Astyanax mexicanus: one gene and its partner. The protein of the gene in region 1 interacts with the protein of each later gene in a biochemical or structural test. Links are inferred from orthologs where the notes say so. Each region holds a gene or a part of one and is shown in the gene's direction. Other genes may lie near its edges. The genes, in order: pax3a and sox10.

Region 1 (9,627 bases):
TCCCCGTAAAGGGGCAACACCGAGCTTCCAGCCCCGGGGCCAAGGTTCACCACGGGGGCAATAAACTCCAGGTTCCCCCACCATCTCCATGCCCCGCGGGCCGCGCACAACAAACGCTCCAGCTTTAAACTGCAAAAGCCTCTTTCTTTCTTAATTTCCTTTGAATACCGGTGTCAGTGGGCTATAAGGATCTCAAAACAGTTAAGCTACATTCATAAGTAACATGTGATTAAAACCATCAAACGCACAGTTTGCACTTCATTTAAGAGGCTGTTGATATGAAGGTACAGCTAATTGGTAAATCGCAGAGGCTGGGTCTGACACGCACGTTGCAAGAGACACTAAACACAGCGATGAAGTAGCCAAGCTATTACATTTATTTAGACCTGCTGTGAGAACTTTAAACAGCAGTGATAATAATAATAATAATAATAATAATAATAATAATAATAATATTGTATAAATATTACTGTAGTATACATATTTTAGTATGTAAAGTAAAAAGTATTAGGTCCGAAACAAAAAACAATAATAACACTGAAATAAGACACGCAATGTTATTATTATTACTAATATTAATATCATAAGTTTATAATAATATAATAAATGTACAATAATACATTAGTTACAGAACTAACGGTGACAACCATATAGTATAAATATATTATAATGTGTGTATGCTTTTTATTAATTGTTTGGGCATTATAGAATTTTATACAATTATAACGAATAACTTGTATAATAATAATAATAATAATAATAATAATAATAATAATAATAATAATAATAATAATAATAAAATAAATGTAAAATGTAGTTTTTGGATTATTTTTCTTCTTAGATTTTAGATTTAATTTTGATTATAACTACAATAACAACAATAATTAATAGGCTAAATAAATTAGGTGTCACAGACTGTCTGCCCTGACACACTGACAAACCTAAACATCAGCGGGCAACATTTACTTACCATGAAAAGCAAACAGCAGGCGAGCTGTAGCTGGGATAATGGCATCGCCTGCAAGAGTTCACTGGAAACTTTCCAGAAAGCATCCCGTCACGTTAGTGTCACGTTAGTGTTAGACCAACACTGATTTTCACAGTGTGGGAAATAATTACTGAAGGGTATGGCGATTATATAAAAGTCTCCTGAAATAACTAGCTGCGGAAGTCAGAGGACTGGTGGGGAAAGTTGTGTGATACGCCTCACCAGTTCCAAACAGGGCTTCAGCAGCATCAGTGCTGGGACCCCTAACGATAGCATAGCATTACACTGCGTTTTAGACGATTAAACGTTAAAAATCTGCAGCTCTGAATGTGAATATAAATAAGGCCAGCTTCCCGAGGTCAGCAGTCTGTTGCTGTTTGGCTAATCTGCCGCGTCCAGAGCCGCACTGATCTGTTTTGCATGTCCACGCTGCAGAGGCCCAAAAAGCTCGAATTTAATAAAGTCTTTCCAGCATCCCAGGGGTTATTTTGGTTTAGATTCAAGTGAACCCGTCGCGTTTCTGCCTTCGTCTCCAATGTGACATTCGCTTCTTTATTTATGATGTTTTTTTTCTCCCACTGACGGAGAAAATTTCTGACTGGGATTTTTCACTCGAGAATTGATTTGACATGGATATCCAGTGTCCCTTTAAGCGCAATCAAACGGCCTCTCCAGCACTATTTCCCCCTCAGTTTAGGACGGAGTTGAGTTACAGCTAAACCCGCTCTGCTCCCTCAGCCGATCTGACCTGCCTCAAAACATCATAAGCAGTGTTTATTGGGCTTTTAAAACGCTGCAGTAAATATACAAGAAATTCTGCTCTCAAACATCCAGTTTCATGTTCGAGCAAAGTTCAGGAAATTAGGCTATTACGGCATGTTTATCTCATCCAAGCTAATTTGCGCACACATACATACTCACCAAACACCTGCAGTACACCGTTATTATATATGTATATATACATATTTGATGGCTTTTACAGTTTCATACTATACACAATTAAAGCGTATTCCACATACCCATTGCTTTTGACCATATCCTTTTTATTCTTGCAAGTTAAGATGCCAAATATGTTTATTTGCAATTATATTTGGTATTATAAGTGATTGTAGTGATTGTTCTCTAAATGTATTTTAGTGATAGTTCTCAAAACTTAATGTCAGTATCTCAGTGACCTCATTTTAAGTTTTAAAAAGTTGTTGTAGGCCTATTATCTATTCCTTTAACAAATCCTATTTTATGTAATCCAGAAAAATGCTATTGGATATCAGATATCAGATGGGGTACTGTGTTAGGCACTGTGAGATAGTATGTTAGGAATTAGTAGGCATATACTCATTTTGTGACAGTGTGTTAGGCAAAATGGAACAGTGCATCAAGTAATATGGAACAGTTTGTTAATTAATGTGGCACCATGTGCTAGGTAATCTGATATTGTGGCTCAGTGTGTTAGGTATTATGGGACGTTATATAGTAATTTACAGTGTTATTGTACAGTGTTAGGTAATGTAGAAAGGTTAGGTTTAATATGACACTTTATTACATATGGGAAAATGTGTTAGATAATTTGTGTTAGGTAATATGGTGCAGTGTGTTGGGTTAAATGGGACAGTGGAACAGTGTGCTAGGAAATATTGGACAGTGTGTTAAATAATATGGGATGGTGTGTTAGAAATAGGACAGTGTGCTTGGTGATATGCCATGTGGCAAAATATGATGATATGTTGAAAAACCAGATAATGTTACACTATACTGCCAAAATATTGGGGCTTTTCTTGGGAAAAACTGTCTTTGTGGTCCAGAAAAGGCTTTGTACTTTATTATGATGCATTGCTGTGAGGATTTGATTTTATTTGAGTAGATTTTTTTTTTTTTTTTTACAAAAAAGAGAATTCAGACTATTCATCTTATCCCAAACTTACCAACTCATCTCAAAAATATTGGATGAGGCATTTACCCACCAGTGAAAACAGTTCCACTGTTCCATAGCTAAATGCTGGGGGAATTTGTACCCCTCTAGCCCATGCCTGGCATTAGGCATGGTGCCAATCGGTTCATGTTTATGCTCTAGAGAGACATGCTTTGTGTGTGCATTTGCACATCTGTGCCAGCAATGGTACTGTGCTCAGCAACATACAGTAGCTGAATGCTTTAATCAGAGTATGTATATTTAGTATTTTTGTATATTGCATGTATGTATATTTAGTATTTTTCATTTCTCTTAAAATACTTTGAGCATTTGATTCTAAGGTTTTCTTCGTTCAGTTGGAAAAATGTGCTAGTTTGCGTTGACATCAGTCACTGTTAACTCTAATAATGTACTAATATAAGCACACCTTAAACGTGTTAATGACTAAGGGTATATTACTAAATGTCTTATTTGGCCGCATAGACTTTCAGGCAGGCCTACTTGCACTGAATCACTGAAGCAAACTGACAAGCGCAAGATTGTAACGGCGAACCCCTTAAGGTCCCGGATGCACCTTATATTGAATTAGTGTAGCATCGCGAGCTCCCCTCTGAAGTTATCTCCTGTGAAGTTTGGTGTTAGAATAAGAACAAGTCCTCCGTTAGCACGTGAATGGCCTCCCGTGTGCTCTCCCTCCGTCCCCCTCGTGCGCCTTTGTCCCCTCGGCCCTGCGGTAACACAACATTTGAAGTTTCTTTTCACGTCCACAAAGAGCCAGAGATGTTAATGGAGCGAATGAGCGCTTAATGGAGACCTCATTTCCATCTTTTGCTGCTGTTCCGTTTGCTCTCAGCGTCCCTTCCGAGGATTTTTGGTGGAGCCGCGCATTTATTTAAAGCGAACTGATGGAGCAGAGTATACCATTAAAAAAACCGTTATGATGACAGTAATAACAACAGCAATAGTCATAATGATATTAATTATTATTAATAGAAGAAGAAGAAGAAGAAGAAGAAGAAGAAGAAGAAGAAGAAGAAGAAAAATAATGAGGCTAACAATACAATAAATAAATTATTATTACGCTAATTAACATGGCTCATACGTTACTTAAAAAATATGATATTTCAGTTGCTTATTATTCCACTTCAGTAATTCACAGAAATCCTAAATTAACCAATGATGCATTGCTGAAATCTTCCTTATTTATTTACTTGTTTGTTTAGGTATTCAGTCATTTAATTAAACAATCAATATGTTCCGATACACGTTTTAGGTCTCCATAGCGGTGCATTGGCCGGGCATGAAGAGATGATGAGGTGTGTTACAGTGTGCGGTATTAAGTGCTGTAGAGCAGTGCTAATCCGTTTATAGAGCACCTGGGACCGGCGCGCGCACTACAAGTGTGTGTGTGTTTGTGTGTGCATGTGCGTGAGAGAGAGAGAGAGAGAGAGAGAGAGAGAGAGAGAGAGAGAGAGAAAGAGAAAGAGAGAGAGAGAACTGAACGGGCCGTGCAGCTTAGCCTTTAGGTCCCCGGAGAGCACGAGCCGCTCTAACGGTCCGCGCGAGACCCTCCTAGGAATAGCGAGAATGACAGCCGGCGGATTTGTCACATTAGGATAGATAGATAGATAGCCAGCCTGCAAGTTAGCTGGCTAGCTAGCTAGAAACTAGATAGATAGATAGATAGATAGATAGATAGATAGATAGATAGATAGATAGATAGATAGATAGATAGATTTTAATCACTTGTAATTTACAGATCTTACAGGTGCACCCACCCCCTTAGGTATTCTTTACTCTAAAAAGTGTGTATACAGTGGCGCGGGGTGTGTGAGTGATCCCGTGCTGCAGTAGTCTTTGTGATTAAGTAGAGAAAAAAGCCAAGCATTGTTTTGTGTGATAGCACTCTTCCAGTCTAGTGATCGATCGAGGGGCTTTGAATGAACAGAGACCACTTGACTGACGTGAGGGCCTCAATGAGCTCCTACAAAAGAGAGGAACTAAACGGAAAGAAAAAGCGAGAGAGGGAGTGAGAGTTGTATGAGTAGACGAGTAACTGAAAGATACAAAGACACAGAGAAAGTGAGAGAAAGACATTGAGAGAAAGAGACTAAGGAGTAACAAAAAGAAAAAAGAGAGTCTCATGAATTAAATGACTGAAGTGATTTTTTTCTGAATTCAATAAACTGAGTGAGAAAAATGAGGAAAACGGGATATATGCAGTATATACGCAGAAAGACTTAAATAATAAGACTTAAATAATTAAATAAAGTTGTATGTGTAAACAGAGTAACTGAAATATAAAAGGAGAACAGAAAGAGAGAGAGAGAAAAGGGAGAGAGGACTGTATGAGTAGTATAAGCTGAGTAATTCCAAGATACAAAGAACGCATGAAAGAGTGAGAGGTGTATGGGCCTACTGAATGTCACAGAGTTATAAATAAGGGCTCTTCACAATCGCATCCTTTTTTTCACAGACACTTTTTACGGCTCTCTCGGCGTCATACCCTGCTGAGACCCTCCACTCCTGCCCCTTTCAGCAGCTAAGCACTTTCTAAACACGACAAAAACCGAGCCACAGCCGTCGTAACCACCACAACTTGCTGTTTTTTTGCGCCCCTCAGTATCCGTCTGGATGTTGTTGTGCTAAATGGAGAGTTTTGTTAGGGGAAACTATCATCTGTTAGTATTGAAATTCATCCAATTTCACAAACAAGACACTTTCGTAAATTTCTTTTTGAAAGACGGAGCAGGAAAAAGAGAAAGCTGGAGTGGTTTTCTCCACGAGTAAACCAGAATCTTTCGTTTTGTCTTGCTAGAGTTTACTCAAAATCACAGCAACATCGCCTTGAACCCTCGAGGTCAAGCAACTTTCTACCGGTGGACCAATCAGAGCGCTTCTCTGGCTCCTTCTGTCGACCAATCAGCTGGCTCGACGCGCCGGAGGACGCTACAACTCAACAACTGATAAAATGTTTTAGGGTCTGAGCGGCGGAGTCAAACCCAGCGACAGACGTGTCAACAAGAGCGAAGAGCGACCAGACTTCTGATATTCTTCCAGCAGTTTTCTATCTTGGATATTATTTTACATATCATTGAGGAGGATTTGCGTCTCTAGTGTGTGTGTGTATGTTTTTGTGTGCGTCGAAGTTGACTTTCAGGGAAAGTGACACTTTCTGGAACGTCTTCAGGCTAACTGGAGAGATAAAACAGCATTAGCCTGAGCCACAAGTGGAGCATTTACACACTCATCTTCTAGATAAAGTTCACTCTTTGTCGCTTTTTCAGCGTGCGAAGAGTGAAAAACAAGAGTTATGGCCGCCTTAGCAGGGGGCATTCCCCGGATGATGCGCCCCACGCCACCCCAGAACTATCCAAGAGGAGGCTACTCTCTAGAAGGTAGGAGGAAGCAGCACCACTTGTTTTGAAAGCCTCAGACCCTGTAAACTATACACCTTTCATTTAGACTAACAGGTATTTTAGTAACGCCTCAGCAAAGCACCAGATGCTGAACACTGACGCTAAACATCTACAGCCATTATACGAGTGCAAATGGACACACATTATTTAGCACAGTAAAAGTAACTTCTCGCTGTTAGAGGGGGTTTGACTGCTGTGTGTTTACAGTGTAATAGAGATTCATCGCTAAGGGCCAAAGCCTTTAGTCTTGTGACTGTCAGAATTAAAGGATAATCGTTTGAATGCCCGCGAAAAAGTTCTGGTAATGTCCTGACAGACTGTTTGATTTCGTTGAAATAATGTATTGTTCTTTTAAGGATGTGTTTATGCAAGTGCATATACAATAAAGTAAATAATGCAGGCCTATAATGCAATGATTGCAACTTAACTTAGAAAATATTTTAGTAAAATGAAGACAACGGGTGCCAGCAACAGGTTACAGTTTGACAAACGTTCAACAATAGTTTACAAGCATATCGTCGCTGTCACACAAAAAATGTACCTCCATTTTCCATTTTTTATAACGTTGAAACTGGCAATTCTTCCTTACAATGTGTTACAATTTCATGGGAAATGACCCAATGAAAATGATCTGAATTAAATATGAAATTAAATATGTTTTACGTTTACTTCTGTTGAAAGTTATTTTCTTTCTTCTTCTGTAAATGTGATATTTTGGATGTTTTGGATTTTTGCATGTCAGCAATGACGTTGCTATTAGGGGTCCAAGTAGGAAGTGCCAAGGCACTGTTATTTTTATTAGAAGTAGTATTATTATTAGTATTACATTTCTTTAATGATACTACTATTAATACTGATGTTAAAAACAAAATAAATACAGCATATGCAATTTTGTTTATCATTCCTTTTTTCATTAGTTTTCATGTTGTTGCACATTGTTTACAACGTATTATTACGAGAGTCTATATTAAAGATATCTGTATACTAACAATGTTTTTTTTCTTACAGTTTCCACGCCGTTAGGACAGGGTCGTGTAAACCAACTCGGCGGCGTGTTCATCAACGGGCGCCCACTGCCCAATCACATCCGCCACAAGATCGTGGAGATGGCGCACCACGGCATCAGGCCCTGTGTCATCTCTCGCCAGCTGCGTGTGTCTCACGGCTGCGTCTCCAAGATCCTGTGCCGCTACCAGGAGACCGGATCCATTAGACCAGGAGCTATCGGGGGCAGCAAGCCCAAGGTACTGCGGCGCAGGGTTGAGTCAGGCCGTGTGTGAGCTCTGGAGGACTGATACCCTGTCCTCCAAGTTCAGCCCGCTGTCCTGCTGTAACGGTCAGGGTGCTAAAAGACGGCGAGTCACTGTTTAATAATGCACGTGCACAACTAAATGCCCAGTGCTGAATTAATGCCCCCAGTGCTGAATGAACACCTGCAGCGTCCGTTTAAGTCCAGCTGGGCACAAATGAATGCTGTGAGAGTTCATTCAGCACTGTAAGAGTTTATTCAACACTGCATTCGTTAACTCAGCCCTGAGGACGTGGAAAAATATATATCACCAAAAACCTGCCATGTTTTCTTTAGAAACACTGAACTTGCTGTCTACCAGTATTTTTATCTAATACTCAAATTAGGTTATACAGTCATAACATTAACACTAAATCTATCTATCTATCTATCTATCTATCTATCTATCTATCTATCTATCTATCTATCTATCTATCTATCTATCTATCTATCTATCTATCTATCTATCTATCTATCTATTGAATTATTGTGTTATTAATGTATCTGTTATAATAATATTGAAATGTAACATGTTATGCGTTAATTATTTTAAACTTTTTTTTATTACTTTAAGTATTTTGGCAGTATTTAAGTAAAAAATAAATACAATAATTAATCATCATTTTGGAAGAGCTTGCGTTATTTATTTATTTAACAAATAATTGCGATACAAAATTATTTTAACAACATACATTTTAAAATATAAAATAAACAACCGTTCATTTATTAGTTTAGAAATAAAAAAATAATACAAAATGTGTAAATTATAAAAATAAAATAATAACTACAGTGTATTATTATTATTATTATTATTATTATTATTATTATTATTATTATTATTGTTATTATGTTATTATACTCTTTATTTGTTTTGAATATTTAGATGCAGAAAGTTAAAGTGTAGAACTGTTTTACCTTTTTTCACCCAGTTTCTGAAACTGACCTTTTCCTTCTTATGATGTTTCTTTTTTTACAGCAAAACTCCAGTCCCGACCTGGACAAAAAGATCGAGGAGTACAAGCGGGAGAACCCGGGCATGTTCAGCTGGGAGATCCGGGACAAGCTGCTGAAGGATGGAGTGTGTGACAGAAACACTGTGCCCTCAGGTAACACACACTTCTTTTTTACCCGCTTCTTAACCGGTTCACAATTTTCCTTCCTTTCCTATGAGTTTTAAAAATTATATATATATATATTTTATTATATATATATATAAAATTACACGTTATAGGTATAAAAATAAAACAATTTGATATAGTATGTAGGTCGTGCACAATTTAACACAAATTTAATAATACACTAAAAGGTTTTCTATAGGGAAATCCTGCTGAGAGAGCTAAACATCCCAGTGGGCATCTGCTTAACATTACCGATTTAAAATTTAGATAAAATGCAGAACATTAAGTAAAAAAACAAAACTGAAAGTATGTTATTTTTTTAATTAAGTAAGTAAATAACTAAATTAATTGGCAAGCTGTTCAAAATTGGTAGTTACAGAATAGCAATTTTTAAACAGTTTACCGCTCTTTCTTAAGAGAAAGGTTCAGTTTAACGGATGTATTATTACTGTATTTTGTCCTACTATAGTAAGCTCCATCAGCCGCATAATGCGCTGTAAATTTGGCGCGAATGGAGAAGACGAGGAGGACGACGATGAGATCGAAAAGAGGGAAATGGAAGAGAACGAAAGGAGAGCAAAACACAGCATAGATGGCATTTTGGGAGACAGATGTGAGTTGTACTGAATTTCTTTGTTCCTCACTTTCTTTGGGTAGAACCTGTATGTAGTACTGTGTTTGCAAGTACAGCGGTGTGATCTGACAATGCAACCAGTGTTTTTAATACAACTGTCTGGATTCTGTTTATATTTTAATATTATTAATATTTAATAATATTATTATTATTTTTTTTAGTAGTATAATGGATGAACTACCGGTGTTTAGTGGAATAGATAGCCTTTAAGTAGTTGAGTTCAAATTGTGTTCGGATTATTGCAGAAAACGTGAACACATTTTCTTTATCT
Region 2 (9,688 bases), on another chromosome or scaffold:
TATTTGGGTCCTTTTCTTAGATATTCAGTAGTTTGGTAGTTCTAGATCTGTTTGAATTAAATTCTAAGTTCCTCATTACTTCTGGTGGTTCTGGGTCTATTGGATTCAGTTTTGAGTCACTCAGTATTTCTAAATCTGTTTGAAATCTGTCATTTTTCAGTACTACAGTTGTTCTGAAAATGTTGGGATTCAGTTTTAAGTACCTCAATAGAATTAGATCTATCAGGAAGTTCTTTAGAAGTGTAGTCTGATTATATTTAGTTCTAAGCTACTCAGTACCTTAGTAGTTCTGGGTCTGTTCGGAATCTCAACACTAGATTGGTTAAGATTTCTCAACACTACATGAGATTGCACCTGTTTGGCTTCAGTTCTATGTTCTGGATCTGCTTGGTTGATGTCTGCTCCATCTGACGTTTATGAGCAGAGATGAAATCACCCTCATCTACATGCACTTCTCATTTCTGACCTTTTCTCTCTCACCCAGGCGCACTTACTCCTCATCTGAATTCAGGAATTCCCCAAGGAATTTTCTCCACCATTTATGGACGGACAAAAGGGCAACCTTTCGTTCTCAGGAAAAAATGATAAACACCCCAAAGATCTCTCTCTCTTTCTCTCTCTCTGTCTCTGTGTGTCTCTGTTTTTATCTCTCTCACTACAGGGAAGTGTGTATACAAATGTGTGTGTGTGTGTGTGTGTGTGTGTATTTGTGATAACTGTACCTTAGAGAGAGCACCCTGTCATGAGATCCACATGGTTCTGGGTTGAGCTTGACCTTTTGACCCTCGTGAGCACGAGGGTCTCTTCCTAACAACATTCACCCTGACAAATGTCTCCCACGGCAACCGGCAGCATCACCACAGTCACATGTTGCTGACAGCACAGCAGTGGTACACACACACACACCGCGCACACACACTTTAAACAGTGTCAGGCTATAACGTTCAAATTATATAAGTTTGTAAAGCATTGAGATAAAACTGCTACTTGGAGATGTTCAACATTTAACAGAATCAGGATTATTTTTGGTGGTTCGGTTTTTCTCTGGTTTTAAACACCAGACCTTAAAAATTACTGATGAATAATAGAGGAGTAATATAATTTTTATAGCAATTCATACTGGATGCGAAAAACGCAGATCATCAGTTTCAGCTCCGATTATGAATAGATTATTGTCATCACCATCATCACTATCAGCATCAGCAGAAAATCACACTTCCCTTCCTGCAGACTAATGCACAACACACACACACAGCGCGTGCTCTCGCTGTTGTCCTTGTTTATTTGAATAATCGCCATTACCCTTAACACACACACACACTGCGCATGTACATCTCTCACAACTATATATGTGAAAAATCTGTTTTATATTGCGCGTTTAAAATATATATATATATATATATATATATATATATATATATATATATATATATATATATATATATATATATGAATATTACGCGCCATATAAAACAGATTATTTTTCTTTTATAGCATCAGTATTAAAATAATTCGTCGTCCTATTATTTGATCATTTAATCAATATTTTTTTATTATTCATATAATATGTGTAAGAATTGTTATACATACGTGAATCATATACTAAAATAATATTACGTTCTTCTTCTTTACTCTTCATCGTTATCATTATCTTCTTCTTCCTTTTATTATTATTATTATTTTTTATTATTATTATGAATATTTTTATAGTTTTGGTTTCTGCTACTACTACTAATAATAATAACAATAATAATAACAATAATAACAATTATTATTGTTATTATTATTACAATTTACAGTTGTTTAGAAATGTAATACTAAACATATCAATAAAAATATATTAAAGCTCGTATTGTTTGTCTTCTTCTTATTACTATCGTTGTTGTTATTATTATCAGTATTGTTTCTAATTTTTAAAGTTAATTAAAAATGATTTATTTGAGCCTTAATTTATTAATAAAAATGTTTAATATTAATTATTATTGTACCATGAACCGTTCTATATCTGTTTACCGTTAGATGTTTAATTTAATTGTTTTCGTTGCGCCTTTAATAACCGCGCGCTGTAATACTTTACTTTTAACGAATTAATACTCTAATTGCTATAAATTCTTATCTCTCACGCGATTCACTAATTTCCGCTATAAAAGGCCAGTTACTACAGTTTTCCCGAAGTTTTTTTTCCAAAGCAATTAATTAATTACATATGCAGTAATTAAATGATTATATTATCTGTGAGTAACTGTAATTACATTGACTGTAATTAATTGATCATATTAGCTGTAATTAACCAATTGCTGCTAGTTAGAACTGTGGAAGTGACACTGCGTACGTTCGCGCGGACTATTAGCAAATAAACAAACAGACATTTACCAAAAAAATTAAGTAGGTATTTTTTTATAATATTAACGATTTTTCAACCAATCAGAATTAGGGCATGAGTATTAAACCTCAGTAATGACCAATGCGCCGACCCTGACATTGACACCTTTGCCTGACATTGTCACGTCATTTAAATATTCATGAGCTTCGCACTGCATAAATTATAATAAATAACACACTTAATAACATATATAATGTATAACACATATTTATACATTTAACAATTTTTACTCAAGTTCAACACGCCCCCCAACCCACACTCAGGCACGAGCACACGCACACACACATGCACAGCTTCCCTGCGCACGCTGATTTTCACCACAGCGCCTGAGCTCACCTGAACAGCCGCACAAACACAATACCAGTATAAACGCACGCACGCGCGGGCGCTTACACTCTCCCATCTTATTCTGTCTGTGCGCGAGCTCTCAACTGAGCTCTTACCTTGGATCATGAGAACCCATAATAGAAAACATTTTCGTACACACACTCACACACACTTCCACACTCACTGAGAGGTGCGCGAGGCCGCAGATCCTGGGATGAGTCCGCGCGCGCCAACAGGCCAGGAAAGGTGCGCTAGCATCGGCGGTAGCTGCATTTTACTGCAAATGTGCGTTTGGAAGGACACGAGGAAGAAAGGACCATCACATACACACACACGCGCGCGCCGAATAGAGAGAGAGAGTCTTTTCTCTTTTCTTTCTCTTTTTTTTCTTTATAAACACAGAACTGCTTTCTGTTCTCATTTCTTCATTTAAAGAGGGGGGGCGCGCGCGTTTGATCACATGATTACAATTCACCTGAGATAAAACAAAGGACGCACAGAGAGGGAGAGAGAGAGAGAGGGAGAGAGATGCTCTCGTGCATCTCCTTATCACACTCCACATTCATGCCTGATGAAAAAGTCAGTGATTTTTTGGAGGTGGAGGAGGGGTGGGGTGTGGGGAGCGCGAGACACACAAACACAGGGCCTTATTGTTAAGCAGAACAGCGTGCGCGTTTGTGTGCGCGTGAGCCCCCCCACCACCATCTCCATCTCTCCTTTCACTATAGACTCTCTCTCTCCATTCTGTAGGTTGTTCTGCTGCTTCTACACATCCATCGCGCGCTCTGCCTCATCGATAAACCCTGATGTACGCGGTTACGCCACACACCAACCTTACAGGCGCGCGATGGATGCCCACCGTTCAACAGTGGCCGAACGACAGCCGCAGTAGCGGCGACGGTGGTGCGCTGCAGGAACTGCGTGCGCGCGCACGCGACAAGAATTTCAAAAGAAAAGGATGTAGATTTATACACTGTTCAGAATAATTTAAACTATTGTAAAATAATTCCATCCGCGCACAACAATTTTCGTTCGTGCAAATGGTACAAAAATCGTATTCATAATAAAAACAAACGTTACATGTAAAATCTAAAGCTTGTAGGCCCACTAATACAATCGCAGTTGAAAAAAATCGTAATATACATCGTAAAAATCGTACAAATACTTTAAATAACTTCAAATCCGTTCACACTTTTCAGAATGTTTTTTTTTTTACTTTTTTTAGTTTCTGTTTTTGCTTTTACAAGAGGGAAAACACCCGCATCAAAAGTGGTGTTGATGGCGATTGTGTGGCACTGGGAGCCCTGCCTGTGCGCGCGCACGGCAAAAAAAAAATCCATACACGAATATTGGAGAATCCCAAACTGTTTTAATCGTTTAAAAAACCCAAAAACGAATTCCAAATGAAACAGAATGAACGAACTTAGATTTCAAAGATAATTGTAAAACTCTTCTACAACGTGCAGCAGCATCTAGTACGTGAGAGGTTGGTGTAAACGTCATCTCCCAGATATCAAAATTACGTTGAATCAATTTATACATATTATTCATATTTCTACACCTAATGCATTGAAACAACGTGGATCAGGGTTGGTTCATTTGTGTCCATCGATTTTACACTTTTACGATTCAACGTTCGTATAAGTTGTACTGTCATTGCAGTGTAAAAATAAATATTTAAATTCGAATATTAATTCATTGTGGAGAGCAGTTTCCACCTAAAATCATTGTTATTTTAAAGCGTCCCAAACATTCAAAGCATTTTAAATGAACTTTGATTTAATGTCGGATTTCAACACTTTCAACACTTAACAATTAAAGGTCGTTTAAAGGTTGTTTTTTTTTCATTAATAATAAAAAAACACATTAATTCAGCGTTCTTGGCTATCAGGACTTCAAACGAATAAAAGTCGACCACACATTAATTTCTCTCTCTGTCTCTCACGTTTTCAAATTTTTTAATGGCATTGATAAAGACAAACAGGCACATAGACATTTAGTCTTTGTAAAGAACACATAACACGAGTCATGGACATTTGCACGTTAAAATATATTATTTTACATAATTACAGCGTGTAACAACTTGTTTTGCTTTGTTTCATTGATTTGAGTTAAATGGAATTGACTGCTACTACTACTACTACTACTACTAATAATAATAATCATAATACTAATACTACTAATAATAATAATAATAGTAATGGCGCTTTAATAGCTATAATTTAACCGTTCGCAGCAGGTGCTGGCTCGGGACTCGGCTGCTCCTGTGTGGGTAACAGAGCCCGTGGGTATCTGCCCCTCTGTGACCCCGCGGGAGAGCGATTTAGAGCGCGCGGGACAGATGAAAGAAGCCGCGCGGAAACATTCAGACGTTCAAACGCAAAACCCGACCACGTGAAGAACGGTCATCTATGCACACACACACACACACACACACACACACACACACACACACACACACACACACACATTTACACATATACACACAGCCACACCGTTTATGTGATTTATGAATAAGATCCAGTTTACACTTTAAATAATTACGACACGTCATTGTTAAAAATAATATATTTTGCCTCAAACAATTCTTAAAGATGCACACGACCAAACAAACAGTCAATAAGTGTGTGCTGAAATTCCACAGTAGCATTGTTGTTTTGGTTCTGTGGTTGTGTGGAAGTTTTTAATAAAATATGTCTCTATATTTAATGTTAATGTTTTTTATTCCTTATAAAAATAGCTCTATAAAGTGATAATAAATGTTATTAAGTTGCAATAACAAATGAAAAGAAATGTAATAAAATTCAAATAATTAAATGCATAAATTAACGAAGCCTCTTTCTGCGCTGCCGATTAGCTGTCGAAGCCCTGCCCCTCCGAACAGACAGCCAATCTCCGAGGCTCTAGCAGCGCGAGGGGCGCTCTTCCCCGCAGCCTATCAGCGGAGAGCTGCTGCAGCTTTAAGGGTCTGAACTATTTTTTTCTCGGGTCGTTTTTTGTTTTGTTTTTTTCTCTCGCGCACAACGGCGCTCTTTAAGTCCCGCGCGCAGCACAGAGAGCGCATTCATACAGCAGCACACGGACACGCGCAGCGGAGGGAGCGCGAGCGAGCGAGCGAGGGAGAGAGAGAGAGTAAGAGAGAGAGAGAGAGAGAGAGAGCGGGGTAAGCACATTATTTAACTTTATTATTATTAATTTAGTTTTAATAATTTAGATTTAATCAGAGGAGAAAGAGAGTTCGCGATAATAACCTAAATGCTAATCTATTATTATTATTATGATTATTGTTGTTATTATTATTATTATTATTATTATTATTATTATTATTATTAATATTATTATTTAATGCTATTACGAATCAAGCGCGCACAGTATGAGGAGCCAATATGAATATATTTAAGAATAAAAATTAATATAAAAGTAATAGGATACGTTTTGATATAGTATAATTCAGAATCGGATTTTTTTTTACAAAATTATATATAATATAGGCATTCATATAATAATAATAATAATAATAATAATAATAATAATAATAATAATAATAATAATAATAATAACATAAAAAACGGTTTATTGATGATTAAACGGATTTATAGACATTAAAAACAGATTTATAAAGAGACTAAATACAATTTTAAACCATCATTTATTCATTTATTTATTTATTTTTATTTTTTCTAGTTTATTTATTTTTATTTTTTCTATTATATTGAGTTATACTTAATTTGGTAGCAACATTTAACAAAATGTATTATTTCAATTACTATCCTTTTGACAAAATTTATTAATGAACTAATGAAACCATTTAATTATAATGTTTTCAGTTTTTTTGTTTGTATTTAAACATAAGTGGTTTGTTTTAGACAGAACAGAGCAGTGAGAGAATTATATCTGAGACAGATCACTGCGAAGCTCCGCTTACACACTCAAAATGAGAACTTGAGCACTTCTGGGGTGTGTTTGAATCTGTGTGTGTTCATAGTTTTATTTTTTTTTAAGTGTTTGTGAATGTTGTGTGTTTAGGTTGGTTGCATATTTTTCTGTGTTTAATTTGAGTGTATATGTTTTGTATGTTTCTGGTGTGTTGTCTGTGGGTTCATGTTGTGTGTATGTTTAGTTTGGTGTATGTTCAGATTTAGTGAATTCTCTGGCTGTTTGTGTGCTTTTGGATTTAGCGTGTCTGTTCTGTTTTTGTGTGTTCCAGTTGTGTGAATTGTAGTTTGGTACGTGTTTGTCTGTTCCGGTTGTGCGTGTGTTCAGATTTAGTGTGTTTGGGTTTGATGTTTGTTCAAGTTATATTTAGACAGTGTCCATGTTGTGTTTATTTAGGTAATATGTGTGTTCAGGTTGGGTGTGTGTTCAGTTTGGGTGTATGTTCGAGCGGTGTTTGTGTTCAGGGTTGGTGTGTGTTCAGGTTGTGTGTGTGTTCAAGTTGTGTGTGTTCAGATTATGTGTGTGTTCAGGTTTGATAAATGTAGGGATGTTTTGTTCAGGTTGACATGTGGTGCATGTTCAGGTTGTGTGTGTTCAGGTTGTGTGTGTGCTCAGGTTCATTGTGTTCCGATGTGTTGTGTGTATAGGTTGTGTGTGTTCAGGTTTGCTGTGGGTTCAGGTTTGTTGTGTGATCAGGTTGTATGTGTTTTTAGGTCGTGTGTGTTCAGATGTGTTGTGTGTTCAGGCTGTGAGTGTTCAAGCTTGTGGGTTCAGGTTGTTTGTGTGTGTGTTCAGGTTTGATGAATGTTCAGACTTGGTGTGTGTTGAAGTTGTGTGTTTGTTTGTGTTCAAGTGTTTGTGTTTGTTGGTTGACATGTGGTGCATGTTTGGGTTGTGTGTGTGTTCAGGTTGTGTGTAAATGTGAGTTTAGGTTGTGTGTGAATGTGTGTTCAGGTTGTGTGTGTTCAGGTTCATTGTGTTCTGATGTGTTGTGTGTTCAGGCTGTGAGTGTTCAAGCATGTGCGTTCAGGTTGTGTGTGTGTTCAAGTTTAATGAATGTTTAGATGTTTGTGTTTGTTGAGGTTTTGTGTGTTTTTGTGTTCAGGTTTGGTTAAGTGTGTGTTCCGGTTGAGTGTTTTCTGATAAGTGTTCAGTTTTTGTGTGTTCAGGTTAGGTGTGTTCAGGTTGAGTGTTTTCTGATGTGAACTCAGGTTTTTGTGTGCTCAGGTTGTGTGTGTTCAGTTTGGGAGTGTGTTCAGATTTGTTATGTGTTCAGGTTCAATGTGTTCAGGTTGTGTGTGTTCAGATGTGTTCTGTGTTCAGGCTGTGAGAGTTCAAACATGCATGTTCGAGTTGTGTGTGTTCAGGTTGTGTGTTTTCAGGTTTAATGTATGTTCAGAATTGGTTTGTGTTCAGGTTGTGCGTGTGTGTCTTTGTGTTTCGGTTTGGTTAATTGTTTGTTCAGGTTAACGTTTGGTGTGTGTTCAGGTTATGTGTGTTCAGATTGTGTGTGGATGTATGCTCATGTTGTGTGTGTTCAGATTTGTTATGTGTTCAGGTTCAATGTGTTCAGGTTGTGTGTGTTCAGATATGTTGTGTGTTCAGGCTGTGAGAGTTTAAGCATGCATGTTCGGGTTGTGTGTGTTGAGGTTTAATGTATGTTCCGAATTTTTGTGTGTTCAGGTTGTGTGTGTGTGTCTTTGTGTTTCGGTTTGGTTAATTGTTTGTTCAGGTTAACGTTTGGTGTGTTCAGGTTATGTGTGTTCAGGTTATGTGTGAATGTGTGTTCAGGTTTGGCATGGTGTTCTGGTATGATGCTTGTGTTTAAGTTGTGTATGCGTGTTGAGGTTGAGTGTGGGTGTGGGTGTGTGTGTGTGTGTGTGTGTGTGCGCACTGGGGTGGGGTGGAGGGTGGTGGGGGGTGCAGATTTGGTAGCTGGCATGCAGGAATTAGGGGCACATAATTCTAGAATTACCCAGCGGAGCGCGAGACACAGAGCAGGGTCACAGTCCAATACAGCTGAATAAACAACAACAGCATACAATAAATAAACAGTAAACAACAACACACTGTAAATGCACAATAAATAAACACATTAGAGTTGCAAAGATAGTGTACTCTACAATACATTTTGTAATACACAATAGATGGTTTATAATATAGATGGTGTAGTATAGTATAGTATAGATAGTGTAGTATAATACAGATGCTGTAGTATAGTATAGATGGTGTAGTATAATATAGATATTGTGGTGTAGTGTAGAATATTTAATGTAGTATAGATGCTGTAATGTAGTATAAATAATGTAATGCAGTATGCAATGTGAAGTACAGTTGGTCTAATGTAGAGTAGAATGTGTACTGTTGTGTAGATGGCATAGTATCCATGTTGTAAAGTAGTGTAGATGGTGTAGTGTAGTGTGAATGGTGTAGTGTAGTGTGGATTGTGTAGTGTAGTATAGATGGTGCAGTATAGATGTAGTATAGATGGTGTAGTGTAGTGTAGATGGTGTAGTATATATGGTGTAGTGTTATGTAGATGGTGTAGTATATATTGTGTAATGTAGTGTAGACAGTGTTGTGTAGATGGTGTAGTGTAGTATAGTTGATGTTATGTAGTATAGATTGTGTAGTGTAGTTGATGTGATGTAGTATAAATAGAGTAGTTTAGTCTAGATGGTGTAGTTTAGTATAGATGATTTGATGTAGTATAGATGATTTGATGTAGTATAGATGGTGTAGTGTAGATGATTTGATGTGATATAGATAATTTGATGTAGTATAAATGGTGTAGTGTAGTATAGATAATTTGATGTAGTATAGATGATTTAATGTAGTATAAATGGTGTCGTGTAGTATAGACAATTTGATGTAGTAAAGATATTTTGATGTAGTATAGATGTCATCTTTTAATGTAGATGGTGTACTATAGATGGTATTGTGATATATAGATGGTGTAGTATATATAGTGTAGTGCAGTGGAGACGGTGTACTATAGATAGTGTTGTAGATGGTGTAGTTTAGATGATTTGATGTAGTATA

The links.
Region 2: the proteins of pax3a (region 1) and sox10 form a complex in vitro, tested with the Homo sapiens proteins (2 studies listed by BioGRID and IntAct). The link is inferred for Astyanax mexicanus from reciprocal best matches to the Homo sapiens genes PAX3 and SOX10.

What each region holds. Positions count from the first base shown.
Region 1 is NC_064411.1:45,136,703-45,146,329, reverse strand, and holds the start of pax3a (paired box protein Pax-3a), read left to right. Parts: upstream 1-5,854; 5' UTR 5,855-6,210; coding exon 6,211-6,295; intron 6,296-7,324; coding exon 7,325-7,560; intron 7,561-8,580; coding exon 8,581-8,710; intron 8,711-9,191; coding exon 9,192-9,335; intron 9,336-9,627. UniProt on the Homo sapiens protein: Transcription factor that may regulate cell proliferation, migration and apoptosis. Involved in neural development and myogenesis. Transcriptional activator of MITF, acting synergistically with SOX10.
Region 2 is NC_064410.1:9,706,279-9,715,966, forward strand, and holds the start of sox10 (transcription factor SOX-10), read left to right. Parts: upstream 1-5,720; 5' UTR 5,721-5,873; intron 5,874-9,688. UniProt on the Homo sapiens protein: Transcription factor that plays a central role in developing and mature glia.